Linked DNA regions of Oryza sativa Japonica Group. The protein of the gene in region 2 interacts with the protein of the main gene of each other region in a pairwise test. Links are inferred from orthologs where the notes say so. Each region holds a gene or a part of one and is shown on either strand. Other genes may lie near its edges.

Evidence for each region.
Region 1: the proteins of guanine nucleotide-binding protein alpha-1 subunit (region 2) and protein THYLAKOID FORMATION1, chloroplastic interact in binary tests that used the Arabidopsis thaliana proteins (3 or more experiments, as listed by UniProt). The link is inferred for Oryza sativa Japonica Group from reciprocal best matches to the Arabidopsis thaliana genes GP ALPHA 1 and PSB29.

The regions. Positions count from the first base shown.
Region 1 is NC_089041.1:22,548,082-22,556,343, forward strand, and holds protein THYLAKOID FORMATION1, chloroplastic, read right to left. Parts: upstream 4,442-8,262; 5' UTR 4,323-4,441; coding exon 4,157-4,322; intron 3,180-4,156; coding exon 2,909-3,179; intron 2,466-2,908; coding exon 2,249-2,465; intron 1,124-2,248; coding exon 1,008-1,123; intron 715-1,007; coding exon 621-714; 3' UTR 280-620; downstream 1-279. UniProt on the Arabidopsis thaliana protein: Involved in a dynamic process of vesicle-mediated thylakoid membrane biogenesis. Required for the normal organization of vesicles into mature thylakoid stacks and ultimately for leaf development.
Region 2 is NC_089039.1:15,699,649-15,707,746, forward strand, and holds the start of guanine nucleotide-binding protein alpha-1 subunit, read right to left. Parts: upstream 5,035-8,098; 5' UTR 4,693-5,034; intron 3,326-4,692; 5' UTR 3,246-3,325; coding exon 3,153-3,245; intron 3,055-3,152; coding exon 2,982-3,054; intron 2,733-2,981; coding exon 2,695-2,732; intron 2,614-2,694; coding exon 2,524-2,613; coding exon of another isoform or gene 2,505-2,523; intron 2,376-2,504; coding exon 2,298-2,375; intron 1,744-2,297; coding exon 1,636-1,743; intron 1,553-1,635; coding exon 1,451-1,552; intron 749-1,450; coding exon 693-748; intron 514-692; coding exon 379-513; intron 303-378; coding exon 209-302; intron 123-208; coding exon 63-122; intron 1-62. Other genes in the region: chaperone protein dnaJ A7A, chloroplastic-like, read right to left, coding at 7,825-8,098. UniProt on the Arabidopsis thaliana protein: Exhibits a fast rate of basal nucleotide exchange. Guanine nucleotide-binding proteins (G proteins) are involved as modulators or transducers in various transmembrane signaling systems.

The DNA of each region.
Region 1 (8,262 bases), on a different chromosome or scaffold from region 2:
GTCTAATATGGAGCTAAAAAAAAAAACTTAATATGGAGCTGAAGTTGTGAAACTAGAAAATGGTAGCTCCACCCTTCATATATATTTTGTGAAGCAGATCCATCCACTCCACTCTTAGGAGGATCTAGGAGTGTTTGGTTTGGCTCCTGCTCCACATAACAAGAATCTAGAGCTAGAACCCAACCAAACAAGTCCTAGATTTTCTGGCATATGATCCAATGCAGAAAAGTCTTCCTGCTCGTTTCCACCACTGATATTCCTGATACATACAGATCCAAAGAAAGAACTTGTGACCGATTTCATTTTCATCATGAAGAGATAACTGAACAATATATTTTTCATCTTGTGAGTAACATTGATCCCCACATACCTCTTCATATATTGTCAAAGAAAAGGAAAACGATACATTTGAACACTGAAAAGGAGAATTACAAAAAAAATATAATGCTCAGTAGTAAGAACAATCTGGATCCTTTTATACGGCAGAATACAAAACCACACGAGAGCAGCCAAAGTGTCCGTGCAGTGAAAGGTGACCTTGATAGTTTCTCAACGTGATCCAGAACTCTGTTAAAATCTGTTATCCACGGTAGCACTCACTCCCCTTATGAAGGCTTGAGTTAATGCCTCATGGAATTGAGACTCCCGTCAAATTTCGTAACAGCTTCATTCGATTTTGGGGTCTCTGATCTTTCCTCTCTCTTCTTCTTTTCCCTGCCAACAAAGTTGAGTTCAACTCGTTGAGATGATCAGTTTAACACAGAAAAACTGGGGAGGATACAAAATGTAAAGAGAAGGCAATATAAACTAATCCATTTGCCTGGGCTCATTGAAAGAGGAGAGATTTATGTGCTAAACAGTAAACTTCAAGTATAAAGCTATTAATATCACACAATTGTTGCAAAATAAAATTAGGAACATCCCTCGTGCGTTAGTAATATCAGTGATTGAACAAATCAGGGTTTGGGCAGTAAGAGAAGTGGGAAATCAGCGGATAAGTTGGTTACCTTTCCACGTATTCCTTGAGAAGTTCCTTAGCCTGGACCAATTTGGAGAGTATGTTCCGGTAAACATCGAGATCCCTGTCGACACTTCTTTTGTTGATGTTTAGAGCAGCGCAAAGCTGTCAAGGAAGCCATTGAAAATATTAGTGAGGTAAGTAGGTAACATCAAAGTGCACATTACATTTTGAGTTCACCAAATGACAAACATAACTGGCTTAAATGTTTCCTGAAATTATCATTGGACACTGAAAAAATTACTTGACTTGTACTATACTAGAATGCCTCAAGAATGCTTTTGGAGTTTTATCCTGTATGGAATCTCCCTATCTCCAATGAGTCCTCCCACAGAAAAGTCCAGATATGCCCCCAACATTGGTACTAAGTTAGAAGCCAAAACTGAACTCGAACCTCCTTAGTGCTATTTCCTATTCTGGCTTAAGAAACATCATAAATAATAGAAACCATCACAAACTTGAATTGTCAGTTGATCACATGCCATAACGATTAGAACATTTGCTAACCTCAACGTTTGAGGAGAAATATTTAGGAAAGCAGTTCGTGCGCACTCAGCTAGGGTAGTTAGATTTTAGAGGTGGGAGCTGTGGTTCTGAAGTGATAGGAATGAATGATGGAGTCGAGTAAGAGGCTTAGTCAATAGGAAAGTATGATGGAGTCGAGTCAGAGGCTTAGTCAATAGGTATGGAGGGCATGTTTGGTAGAGCTCCAACTCCTAAAATTTAACTCTAGGAGTTGGGTTCGGAGTGGAGTTGTGGAGCTGCCTAAACCCAAGCTCCACCTCTCTAGTTCATTTTGTGAGAGCGCTCCACCCAGCTCCACTCCCATTTTAGGTGGAGTTGAACTATTTGGCTGGGCTCCAACTCCAGGAGAGGCGGAACTGGAGTTAGAACTGTGCCAAACAGGCCCGTACGCTGTAGGATGGAATAGAGTCAGACTTAGTCCTTTACTAGTAATCTAGCATATCAGCGAAGTAGTAGGTTAAAAAGAACACCGCATAGACACTTAACCAGCTGTGGTTGCAAGATATTAGACAGCAGACACAAGCCAACCCCTTAATTGATTTGAGATAAATCCTTTCTTTCTGCGAAAACTAAAATGTATTGGAAACATGCTCTCTAAAATATAACTTGAGAAACACACATAAGCGTTATTAGAAGATATAATTTGGAAGTGAAGCAAAAATAAGTATGATAGTCAGAAACAAAATTATTAATGGCAATAACAACCTTGTCTAGTATGGTTGGCTCTGTTGCATTTGCAAGCTCAAGCAAACGGAACAAGCCAACTGCAAAGAACCGGCTGTAGCTGAAGCTTCCCTTACCCTGGGCCCTTTCTGAAATATCTTTCAGAATGGCCTCTATTTCTCCATCTTTGGATGAAAACTCAACTAAAGAATTACCATTCTGGGAACGAGCCCACTCTTCCATCTTTTGTGCGTCAGCTCTGAAGAAAGAACAGAAAACACTTACTATGATTGCTTGGAAAGACACCTCTGTTGATGCCAAAACAAACTAGTAACCCAATAATACATTAGCTTTCATTGACGCAAATAAAGCAGATAATTGGTGATCCACAAATAAGCAAAGCATGCAACAAATAGATAGTGCAAAATGTGACATTTTTTACAGCGGCAAGATAGATAATTGCTACTATCTCTATAGGAAAAGGCTATGGTTGACATATGAATTCAACGAATTGGGGGTAATATTTATGCTGAAAATTCATGGCTGTGAATTATATAAATCTATAAAAAAATTACTTGGATCAATTAAGTGTAGGATATTGTTTGAAGGTTCAATTTGGTTATGAGAAATCTAATTGAATATAAAACAAGAAGATGCTAACATCACTGTGAATAAAAAACAGTTGTAAGTTACAGTAGGCACCTGTATTGCTCAGGGTCTTCGTTTAACGCTGTTATATATGCTTTGAAGATTGCATCCCTATCCTCATTGCTAGGGTACCCTTCCATGAGTTGGTCATAGACGGTCACAAAACCAAGAGCAAACACCGCATCATATTGATATGTTGTTTTGTATCTCATCAGATGTTGCTGTACCAAAAGTTCTTGTAGAACTGTACTGTAAATGCTTAGGATAGGACGCTTGTATGACTTGAGAAAATTCATCTTTGTTTCTGCGACAGTGGGTGGAACATCTGCACAATATTCAGAACAAGTGAAAAACGCTGTGGCGATAACTTGTTCATCATGCTGTGTACAATATGTTATAAGTTAGTTGCTGCCTTTGTGATCATAATAACTGAAAACATTTGGACATACAATGATCCAGTATCAAATACTTGACAAGTAATCGGCACTTGCTCGATGAATTGAAGAAAGTTGACAGGAAAGGGGGCAGAAGCAACAGAACACCATGAAGAAACTGTGGAACGAAATGAGCGGAAATATGTAAACGCATCAAATCGTTCTACAAGGAAGCATTTGGCAGTTTACTGCCACAATTCAACAGAAAAGCAGGAATCATAGGCCTGAACAGCTAACCAGGGCTTGTGAGGTTTGGCTAACATAAGATGATTGGCGCAAATACACAACTGATCCTGTTTCTCTGCTCCGGGGTCTCCCCGGCTCGACAGTTTAATGTCGTGTAAACTTGTAAACTCTCCTTTCATTCTTAATGAAATTTGGTCGGCTCCTTCGCCGACCCGGCAAAAAACAAATACACAACTGAATAGTCCTACCCTTCGCTATTTGTGGATCAAAATCAGCTAGATTGTTGAAAATCACATATGGCTAAACTAGTGATACGAAATTCTAAAAAAATTCCCAAGCTCGCATCTAAAACAGACATGAATTCCCTGCTAGAAAGAATAACCAAGCATCAAAACCGCATGGATACACAACTACAAATGCTAATTGTTCACCCAAAAATCACAGTTGCCAGTTCTTCCTCCAAACATAGGACGCTAGATTGGCTTGTAGTCCCCGCCACAAACAATCTTGCAGCATCCCCAAGAAGAACCAGGATCCAGATTTTGCTAGTGAAACCCCCACGCAAAAAGAGAAGCTCTTCTGTCGCAATCGAACGCACTACCACTACGTGTTCATCACCGACGCCAGAAGCACCAGTGAGTGAGAGAAAAAAAACAGAGAGAGCGCGAGCGAGCAAGCTCACCGCCCGCCGTGGCGACGCAGCGCACCACCGAGCGCGACCCCCGCCGGGGCCTCACGCTGAGCACGACGGCCCCCGCCCCCGCCCCCGCCGCCGCCGCCGCCGTCGACGGCCTGCAGTCGGCGGCCCGGCGCAGTGCCGCGAAGGGAAGCGAAGATATGGCCGCCATCGTGGAGTCCCCCGCCCACCTGCTGCCGATTCTCTCGCCGGAGTGCGGCGGCCGCCGGCGAGGGGTAAAACGGTAAATTAGGCGCAAAAAGGCGCGTGCGCGAGAGAGAGGAGAAAAGGCTATACAAGCTTGGGGTTGGAGGGATGGGATCTTCCCATCTTTCTTATCCAGTAGGCCTTGCTCAGGTTTCTCGACCACTACGGAGGCGCCACGTGTCCGCGTCACGCTTTCAAGTAATTTTCCTGAATTTTGGACGAAGTTTTAGCTTTTTTGGGGCGAATTTTTATGGGCGTGAGAGGTGGGATTTGCTTGCGGATTTGTGATTTGGACTTTGAAAAGATCGGAAGCAGTTGTTTTGATGGTTTAGTTTAGGACTTTAGCAGCTAATGACGATGGAAGTGTTTGGTGCGTTGCTACTCTGTCAGTGGTGTGTACGCAACAGAAGTGTTTGATGGTAAGACCGTTTTTGAAATATTTGTCCGTTTGTTTGGTTGATGTTATCCGTTGACGAGATTATATCAGCAAAACAAGTAAAAAAATATCCTGCAACTTGTAAATTTTTATTGAGCTACTAAGGCTGTGTTTGAGGAGAGGAGATAGAGGAGATTGGGAAGATACACAAAACGAGGTGAGTCATTAGCATATGATTAATTGACTATTAAGTATTTTAAACTTCAAAAATGAATTAATATGATTTTTTAAAGCAACTTTCCTATAGAATTTTTTTTTTGCAAAAAACGCACCGTTTAGTAGTTCGGAAAACGTGCGCGCGGAAAACGAAACAAAACTCACTCACAATCACCCAGATCACCTAGGAAAGAAGACAGCCTAAGAAGTCCTTAGGTTGTGTTTTACAGCTTTGAGATGCAAGTTAATCCCTTGCGTACGTAAAATGGAGCGACTCATTAGCATATAGTTAATTAAGTAGTAGTTTAAAAATGAATCACTATGATTTTTAAAAGCAACTTTCGTATAGAAATTTTTTCATAAAAAACACAATGTTTAGCAATTCAGGAAACGTGTACGCAGAAAACAAATGAGGTGGAGCTAGCAACTCACTTTGCCGAACGCAGCCTTATTACAAGGTCTAGCACTTAGGTCATTCACAATACAACTAGTTGTCATTCTCCCTCACCGAATCAGCTCAAAGATTCCCTCCACCTAGCATAGCAAGGAGCCTCGCCAAGATGGGGAGACAATGGCTCCCCGTTCTTCGTAAAAAGTGCAGCTTTTGGGCCCACAAGAGAAGAGGTGAAGAAGGGGGAGGGAGGGGAGAAGTGCCGATGCCGTCTTTCTCCCCGATCTGCGCCGGTCGGAGCTCGTCGGCCGCGTCATGTCACGCCTAGAAATTCCCGAATAAAATTCCAAGCAGAATGTGCATTAAAATCCCCGTCCAGGACCGGCCAGGGTACACAAACGACAATGTTGACATTCAGATCCACGTCTTACAATCATTATAAAAGTCTTACATAAATGCAGCGGAAAAACGAAAGACAACAGGAGCTAAGCCTTGACTAGAACTGCAGCGGGAATACCACTCCACAGGCATCCTCGACGGTACGGACGAAGCCTACTCCTCGGAGAAACCTCCATCTGACACATACTCGTACTCTGGGGTTGGGGAAAAAATAGAGCAAGACTGAGTACTACCCACTGTACTCAGCAAGTCATACCGGAATAGGGGTATGATGCAGGGAATTATCAAAGGAGAGCTAGAGTGGTTCATTTGCATAAAGCGAGTATTTATAAACAGAAGTTGAAAGAATTAAACAGTTGCAATAATTAATTAATATTGATCATCCGCTGTCCAACGCTATCCCACGTTGCAACAGGCCCAACCATCCATCTATACTATCCAATTTCATTAGACTAAACTAGGGTAAGACTAATCACGGTGAATCTGGTTGAGCGCCCATAACCGCGGGCACGGCTATTCGAATAGTTTTACTCTGATCAGAGGTGTACAACTGTACCCACAAGACACAGCCCCACGACACGTTTCCGTGCGCCGACATGCCACCACGACATACCGGAAAGAGGCCGTGACAGGACCCTTCGCATAACCCCCTCTAACCAAGCACACCACACCTCAGGTTTCACCCCCACTCCTCGCAAGGCAGCGGGCAGTCCCCTCTCGTGCCTAGGTGAATCCGGAAGCGACAGAGGCCGTCGCAGGGCCCGCCCCGCTCCATCACGCCCACCCTTGCCTGGATGCGTCAGCTAGAGGAAAGCTACACTACAAGCCCAGCCGTTGCCCACGCTGGCTTGTGGTAAGTACGATAAGTTCTTCCAGGGCATCCCGCGAACCGGTCCTTAACTGCCATGGGTGCGACTAGCAAAACCATGCACCCACAGCCCACCATGTGATTCATTTTAATTAACCAACACCAAAACGGTGGTACTAAACCAACCTTACCAATTGAACCTAAAGTCTATATTTTAGTGAGCTTTCCCCATTGTGTGCTAGTGGAACTAAGCATGGCTAAGCAATTCCTAGTCCAAAATCTATTCATGTTATAACCCAAGCTAACAAAGGAGCATGGTATCAAAAATGGCATGGCTGTAACAATAGGTAAACACCCCATAGTAACATTATAAAACAATGCAATATTTGAAGAAAAACAATAGAGCATTTGCAATATAGGATCAACATGTTCAAGTGACAAGCATGACTTGCCTTGCTCTGCTGCTGGAGAAACCTCGGCGACTATCTCGAAGTACACCGAAGCGTCGGAAGAACCGGAATCTAGCGACATACAAGGGAAACATTGCAAACAGGCTATAAGACTACTGAAACAGAGAACAAAACCATTTTTAATGGATTCTATACATTTTTCTTGATTTACTGAGACTTGAATGGGCTTAAACGGAGCACGGATGAATTAGTTATGAATTTTAGAAGATTCACTGTGTTTATTACTATAACAAAAAGTTCTTAAATCATTTATTGCGTAATAATTCCCAGGACTGACGTCATCAAGGGGGGCGAGGCGCCGACATGCGGGGCCCACCGGTCAGCGGCTCGGGAGAGAGGGAAAAGGGGCGCCGGCAAGCGGGCCCCACTCGGCAGCGGCTCAAGGGGGGTCCACCGTGGACCGGGACCACGCGGGTGGTCCACCGTCGGTCCACGGGACCGACGGCCCAGATCGCCCCCGGGGTTGATCGGACGGGCGGCGGCGACCCGGCTCGGCTCGGCTCAAGGCCGGCCGACCGGCCACGGCGATGGCAACGGCGCGCGCGCGCGAACGCGTTGCCGGCGACGGCAACCGGCGGCGGAGGCGACGGCGCAAAGGCGACGCGAAGGCGGCGGCGCTAAGCGGCGGCTAGGAAGGAGAGGGAGGGGAATAGAGGGGAGAGGAAGCCTCACCGAGGGTGGCCGGCGCGGAGGAAGACGACGGCGAACGGTGACGGCAAGCCACGGGAGGACGACGGCAACCGGCAGACGGGCTTCGGGGTGCCCTAAGGAAGGAGGAGAGAGAGATTAGAGAGAGGAAGATGAACCACAGCGGCCGGCATCCATGGCCGAAGGCGGCGGTAGAGGTAGAACTCACCAGAGCACGAGGGGATGCGAATTCCGGCGACGAATCCCGACGGAGGAAGGGCGGACGGGGTGGAGTTCGTCCTTGCGAACCCGACGGCGGCGACGGCGCGGTGCGGCGGCGAGCCTAGCGGCGGCTAGCGGCGGCCGGAGCGGCGGGAAAGGCGGCGGCGGGTGGGTGCACGGCGCGGGAGCGATGGGGAGCACGAGGGTGTTCGGCGAAATGGGGAAAAAGAGAGAGGGGGCGACGGCGGAGCTTAAATAGGAGAGGGGAGTCTTGGACGTGGCCGGTAGGGGCGAGATTCCGCCGGCCAACGTGGGGGAGTGGGAGAGGAGAGAGAGAGGCGGGATTCGAAAATCGAATCCCGGCCATCTCGGGCGCGGGCGCGGGCGGGAGAGAGA
Region 2 (8,098 bases):
AAACATAAATGTTGGTAACATTTAGTACTAAACTATGCATTGGTACAAAGAGCAGGCCTTACCTTTTGTATTTTCTTCTCGAATATATCAAATTTGTTGAGAAACAGAATGAATGATGTTTTCTGATGGTCAATATAGCACCGTAATTAGTTTCAAAATGAGAAAAAAAGCATGAGCACAAAGGTTGCAGAGATGGATGCATGCAGACCTCAAAACATCTTTGCTTTAAAACCCAGTCAAAGAGTTCCTTGGTCTCCATCATTCTGTTTTTTGTCTCATCTTCAAATAGCATCTGATCATATCTGAAATGAACAAGAAGCCTATGAGAAGAACTTAGCAGATTAGGATAAGTTCAACAATCAAAAAAATTGTACTTACTCGCTAATGGCAGCACAAAAGATTACCGCATTAACACCTTCAAAAAGATGAATCCACTTTCTCCTCTCATTCCTCTGGCCTCCTACATCATACAACCTATATACCTCTCCACCTCTTTTGTTTTCTCCAACAGGACTGCAGAAAGAAACCCAGTTAACTAGATGATTCAACTCATCTTAAAACAGCTACATTCAGAACCTCTCAGGTCATATCTTAGAAGTGAAAGGGGAGAAAAAAAGGACTTCAACTTGTCGTTCTGTACATAGTAGAGCAACCAGCAAAAAAATGTGCAAAAAATAGTGTCAGCAGATTACCTAAATTGTATTTGTACAACACCATTTGTCCGTACTCTTGCATAAAGCACATCCTCCTGCAAAATGACTCATAATATTGACAACTATAATACTGCAAGCATTCTTAAGTATGGAAGATCAACTACCAGCCTTTCAAACGAACCATTAGACAAGGTACAATCACAAATTATCCATCAGACTGCTAAATGCAGAAATATGGAGTCATATCTTCACTTAGCACACACAATGTTAATTGGAATTTTGATGCAGTGTGGACTTAAACAAGTGACAAACAATTTTCTATGCTTAAGAAATGACGGGAAATGGTTGCAAAAGTGGATGGTACAGTGATCATATTTGTGGTTTGCAACTTATTGAAGGAACTGAACAAAAAAAATATATGCTAGTGTCATAAGATTAATATGTGGGAACTCAAAAGCTCAAGGTGCTTAGATAAGTAGAGTTTTATTCACAGCAGTTTTGCACCCTATGTTTCACAGGGACATTTTTTACCTTCGTTATGTAGACTGCGTAATAACGGTAGAATAATAGTTTCTCCTCCCTAATATTGAATTTTAAAGGATAGCCTCCAATATTATTTAAAAGATAAGGATAAACATATGCCCATCTTTTAAAACTATTTGGCAACCTCTGACTCAGTACACATAGTTAACCATTTGACAACCTCTGACTAAGTAGACTAAAAATCAACATGAAATGGTGTCAGCACAAATATCTGAGAATATGTAAATAATTGTCTATGAACATGGACAGCACACCTTTGTTGGCACATAACCTGCTTCAGCTAATCGATCCAAATTTTCCATGAAGTATTGTGCACAATCAGGAAGTTGCAGAATACTTCCACGTAAGTAAGTTTCCTACAGTATAGAGCATTGCTTCAGCACACCTGGCCAGGAAAACTATATAACTTCAAAAGATTTGAATGGCTATTTGTTTTCACCTGAATGGCTGGGTCTTGCCATAACCTTTTTACATCGAGTACAAGTTCTTTGTTCAGCAGTGGATAATCCAACCTGCCATCAATATCTGATAGTTTTTCTCCAATTTCCTGATGATATGACAAAGTAAATGACATCTAAGAAACAAAATTGGTTGGTAAGGTGTACAGTGTGAAACTGGTGATATTTGTCTTTCAATGCCTAAGAAAAGTCAGTTTTCCTTTAAAGTTCCAAAGCAACGGAACAAGGTAAATGCACAAAGGTATACTTTTTTTAACCTGGTTGAGAAAAAAATTGAATCTTATAACACCCACATTTGATACCAAGTTATTTTTAGCATATCAACAATTGTCTGAAGCAATCAAATAAACAAGGAAGAATAAATGTTACAAAATCTCATTGTTCTTTTCTACTTTGTTCAGTACATTGTACGGTTCAATAGATATCTTTTTCAAGTTTTCATTATAGAATGACCGTGTAAAATATAAGACTACAATAGAGCCGAGCACAGTCTACAAGGTCTTAACAGGTTAAAACATAGAGCCGAGCAGCTTGACTACAACAGAAATGTTGCAAATCAAAATGTTTGTATTCCCAGATTTAACAAGACATGTTCATATGCACAGATTTAGCTTTAACTGTTGAGTAAAGAGTAAGCACAAACCTGGTTATCTGGGGATATAACATACTTTGAGGAATCTGATTCCACTTGTGAGAGTTCTTTTGCTCCTTCATATAGTATCTGTTAACATTTAACACATTACTCGACAAAAAGGAAAAGTATGAACGCATTTCCTTATGAACAGAATACAAATCCCTAGTCGAATCTCCTACATAATCCCCACTTTGCAATAAGAAAAAAAAGACACACCCTTTCCAGTATTGCATACTTTAATTGTCTGATAGACGTTTGCATGGATAACTGATGTGTAGCTCCTAAGTTCTGCCTCATCAAAGCCAGTTTGGAAAAGGAGCTTAATCTGCAGGTGAACAGTAAGAATACATCAGACTAACTAGCGGCGTACGGATTATGATTCTCCATGGAATATAACATTCATCACCTGTTTAAATATCGTAGACTTCCCTGATTCTCCCGCACCTTAAAACAGAAGCAATTGAGAGAGAGAAAGAAGGATGGATCCACATTGAGAACAAGTTCAAACTAAAAATTTCTAGGATACATTTATTTATCTTCTTTTTTTTTGGAAATAACATGAGAAAGGTTTTTTTATAGAGGTAAATAGGAACAACATAAACAATTAATTTTCTGAACCAATAGATACTAAAGGTAGCACAGATAATTGTGACAAGGAAAATGACCACTTAAATTTGGGAAAGTTAGCAATACCAAGAAGTAAGAGCTTGTGGATGTGTTGCTCTGCTTTTGTCTCTTGCAAAATTCGCCTGTCAATGTCTGCAGACTGTTACCAGCTGAATTAGAAGAAACCAAATGTGGCAACTCTCAAATCAAGAATTGAGTTAGCATTTACTTGTTCAATAAGTCCGAGTGCTAACTTACTTTTGCATTTTTGGTTGTTTCAGCCTCACTTAAAGAATGAGATCTGCTACAGGATGAGCCCATGTTATCAAGCACACAGGTAAGCACGGACATTATTTTAGAGGTATGCTCTCATGCCTGAGCCTCTCTCTTTCCAGGAAGCACGTTGACGTCTAGATCTCAGGATCCATGAGCTGCATACATGAGCAGTAAGCTCGAGCGAAATGTGGCCAGCATTTGAAAAGAAAAGATTGTACAGAGTAATGGTTTGCATAGTTCAATATTGCTGACCCACATTGTTATACATATCCAGAAATATTATATGAAGGAAAAACATTAGTAACCATTTTCCGACCAGGATTCATTTCCGACCAGGATCCATTTCAATCACTGACACTTAATAAATAATACGTGAAAATATTTAGAAATACATCAATATCATTGTTTAATAATAATACATCAACATCATTGTTTATTAATAATATTTTTCCTTGCGACGGTGGGGAATGGGGGCAAGGAAAGGGAAGGTGGGGGGATTGGATGGTTTGAGTGACTCGGGGAGGGAAGTGGAGCGAAGCCTCCCGGGAGATAAGATTTGCGCAGAGGCACGCGTGGCCTACGCATTGGCACCGCTGGCCTCCATTTGGGCCGTCGGCTTCACATCTGACGGGGTTGGTGTCGAGGGCTCGGGGCCCCGGTTTTTGCGTTTTGAGGGAAATGCGTTCCATATGTTTCCGACGAGGAGTATTCCAGAATAATACCTACTACATTTTTTATTTCTTTTGATGAAAGTAGGTAAGGTGTCTATTTTGATTGGTAATAAAGAACATAGTTTACATAAATATTACATATGCTCTAGCAGATAAATAGTTAAAACATAACGATTTTTTACCATAACGGTGGGGGGAGCCAAACTAGAAATTAAGAAATTAGGAGTAAACATTAACCAAAAGTGCATTCTATTGTTATTAGATTGTACTTGGCATATATCATTTTGTTTTTTTATTCCAAACTATAGTTGATTTGAATTTACTAATTACCTAATTTAAATATCTATATTATTAGTCTAAATTATTTTTAAAATTAAAAATATTAAAATATTACAGATATATCACAATGTTTTAGGGACGGGAAGACAAAGTACGTTCAATGGTTTCAATTTATAACCTGATAAAGAAAGAATGTTAAATTAGATTCATGCCAAGTGTCACAGTATGTCCTTTAGAAAATTTTGTGGAATAAAAATTACTTATAAGAATATACCTTGATAAAAAGATATTTTGTGTGACTATGGGTAGTTTGTGGTCTAGATTCTTCTTAAGAAATTTATGTGAGTTTGGATGAGTACAAATTATGTGAGCTTACATTTTTCGTTCTAAGGGTGTTTGGATGAGATTCAATAACCAAATTACATCTGCTAAAAACGGAAATCAAAATTAACAACTTGAAAGTAGGTGGAGCTGGGCAGAGGCAGATCTAACCCTGTTTCGGTTGAACCCCCAAACTTTTTGAGGGATAACGCAGAATACCTGATGAGGTGTGGGTAGGGAGGGATGCTCACCGGCGAGCGACGATGCGGTGGAAGAAGGAGGACGCCGGGCGCCACCTCTGCTCGCAGGATGGGGATCGGCGCAAGCGGCGGGCGAGGAGACGAAATTCGAGGCCGAGGCCGGATGGGATGGATTAGGATGCGAATGCGGCGGGAGCAGGAGGACGCCGGCGCCACCTCTGCTAGCAGGATGGAGATCGGCGCCAGCGGCAGGCGAGGAGACGGGAGTCGAGGGCGGCGGGCGAGGAGACGGGACGGATTGGGGAGGCGGAGGTCGTGCAGCGCTCTGCTGCCGCGTTGTCGCCTGCCTATGGGTCATATGCACAGGCGCCTCATCTCCCAAAAAAGTTCATCTAAGGTCCCTTATCTTGTCGTTGAGTTTTAAACGGCCCTGAACCCCTAATCTTGCAAAACGGTCCACTTTTAATCCCAAGGTAGTATTGCTTTCCGGTTTTGTTGACGTGGTGGCTGAGTCAGTGCAGGGCCCACGTGGAACCCACAAGCCAACTAGCAATCTTCTTCCACCTCACTCCCCTCTACTCCTATCTCAACCCAAACCTCTAGGGCATTCGCCAATGGGTGGGGAGAAGGGTGTCGGTTGGCAGGGAAAAGCTCAACGGCGGAGGCCGCCAGCTGACGTGGCTCCTAATGACCGGGAGCGCTCACGTCATGGACTTGCGCACGTGCGGGGTGTGGCGGGTCCCAACTACAACTGCTCGCCTTCTCCCCACCCATCGCCAGGCGCCGTCGTCGGGCACCGGCCACCACACACCTCTCCCACGATTCAGCGTCCTCTTCACATACAACTGCTCGCCTTCTCCCCACGCATCGCCAGGCGCCGTCGTCGGGCACCGGCCACCACACACCTCTCCCACGATTCAGCGTCCTCTTCGCTCCATGACGCAGCCGTCAAGAGCCCAGGGTGACTCACACCTTCCCTCCCTCGTGGGCCAAAGTCGGGAGGATGTTTGCATCCATATTCGATCGAGGGAGAAACCTCATTTTCTCCAGCAGCCGAAACATGCCAACTCCCGCCCCCCCGCAGCTGGGGTAACAAGCTCACGCCACCGAGCTCGCCAGGAGCGATGCGAGCGCGTCGTCTTTTATGCCGGTGTCAGTCGTCATAGATTTTCCATGTGGTACTAAAAACTTCGTTTTTGTGCGTGACAGTTGCGCGTAGAATATGTATGGGCTTTGCACGCACGCCGGCCCGAAGTCTCGAAATTATCCAGGATCATCATGCGCCGTCCCTCGTGAAGGCCGCCGCCGCCGGGTCCGTCGCCGGCGAACAGCGTGGCCACCGCCATAAGCCACCCGCTGATCCGCCCATGCACAACAGCCCATCCTGTTGCAGCCACTCCTCGCCGCCGGCACAACCACCACCACCGGGCTTTCTCACCGACACCACCGGCGACGGCAGCGGCAGCCTGACGGCCAATGTTCTGCACAATGTCAATCTCCTGCATATCAATCACACTCCCAACCCTGAAATGGTGGAATACCTGCTAGTATTCCACTGCAGATCAAACACTTTCCTTTGGTTGGCTTGTAGAGTAGAGATAGGGTACAGTCTGCAAACAGAATTGGTTCATCGGCACTGGATATAGGATACAGCTTGCATTGCAACAGAGTTTGCAGAATGCATGGCTTTACTAAAGAGGGATCACCCTTACAATTTTTGCGCTGTTTTATTGGACTGAAAATTAACACAAATCAATGTACCCAGTGACTTGCCATCAGCCAAGCAGCTGTCTTTTCGGTTTCCAGATTGGATTCGGGTAAAGTTTAAGACTCCGGAAGCAGGAATTTTAGGCACTGTATTGCCATTAGATAATCGGGTGGATAATATACATATTGGTTTGCCAAACACTTGGAACAGGCCACAAATTTCGAGTTAACTTTTATTTGATTGAGGATTTCACAACCGGTTTATACAAGGTCTAGTACCCAAGAGAATAATAGCGTACTGAACAAACAAAGGGACAGGAAAGAACAAGGGCTGCTTCTGTCAAGAACCATGGTCACTTGAACATAAATGCAAGGTGAGATAAAACGATAATGGCGTTAGAAGAGGGAAGGAAGAAATGATCAGAAGCAGCAGGCTACTGGCATTGACACTTGATGGTGTTAACGATAATGTTAAACAAGTCGACACGAAAAAATCACTACTACTCCTACTCCTAAGCCTCAGTGAAGGAGGAAACGGAGAACATCTCTCTCGCATTGCAGTAAATGGTACTGCTGGTGCTGGACTCCTCACGTTTCTCAGCTGTTGAACGCTGGAGGTAGAACAGTAGTAGCACTGGTAAACAGTGGAAGTAAAATTTCATTTATGGATTATTAATTTGCTATTAAAGGACAGTTTAAACTGATCTAAAGCCAAGCTAACATGGTGAACTTTTGTGGCTAACGCAAGTATGGAAGGGTTGCCATACAATGTACAAGCTAACATGAACGTTATTGAAGCTGAAAAAACTATAATGTAATACTCCTATATCCTACTGACATGTCTGCACCATATATTGATCCATGAGACTCATTCCTGACTGGCCTTTTACTGGCACATGCATGGAACAATCAGCTTAAAGTTAACAGTCAGCTATACTGCATTTAGCTGCACGCCTGCACTACAACAGATTTTGCAACTGCCATTACATTGGCTAATAGAGAAAGCTAGCATACAGTTGAAAACCAAACGGAACAAACCCCCAACGCTTAAGAGCACATGAAAACCTGCTGCCAAAACTTTGATGTTACAGCTTACAATAACAATCAGAATGGTCTGGTGCTTCTGCGACAAACAAATGTTTCAAAACTCGTCCCTTTTGCACCATTAAATATTTCTCCCTAGGCCTTTCAAAATTGTGAAAAAGTATTATGAAAAATAGACTAATAAGCTCGCCTAAAAGCATATGACAAGCTACTGTAAAACACCATCCGTTTTGGTGTTTTGGATGGAACTAGATTTCTATGGCTTAAAAATGAAGTTACAGACATGAGAATTCACAGTTCCCACCGATGGTACGGCGCAGCATGAGCGTACAGTTTGTGAAGTGATTTACCAGTTCATGCTCACTTAGTCACTGCAATTTGCGTTAAAATTGCATATTGCCAAAGCATTTTGTCCAATGAAGCCTCATGGAATTATCTCCTGCTGTTTGCTGTTTGAGCCTTGTTTAGGTTTGCAAGTTCTTCAATCAGCTTCCTCTCGTCGCTGCTCAGACGCTTTGGAATCTCGACCTGCACACGCACTAGCTGGTCTCCACGAGCATTTGACTTCCCGAGGAGTGGGACACCTTTCTTGGACATCACTAACGTTGTGCCTGGCTGGGTACCGGAGGGGATCTTCAGGTCAACCATCCCATCAACAGTGGGAACCTTGACGGTTGTCCCAAGAATTGCGTCAATATATGAAACT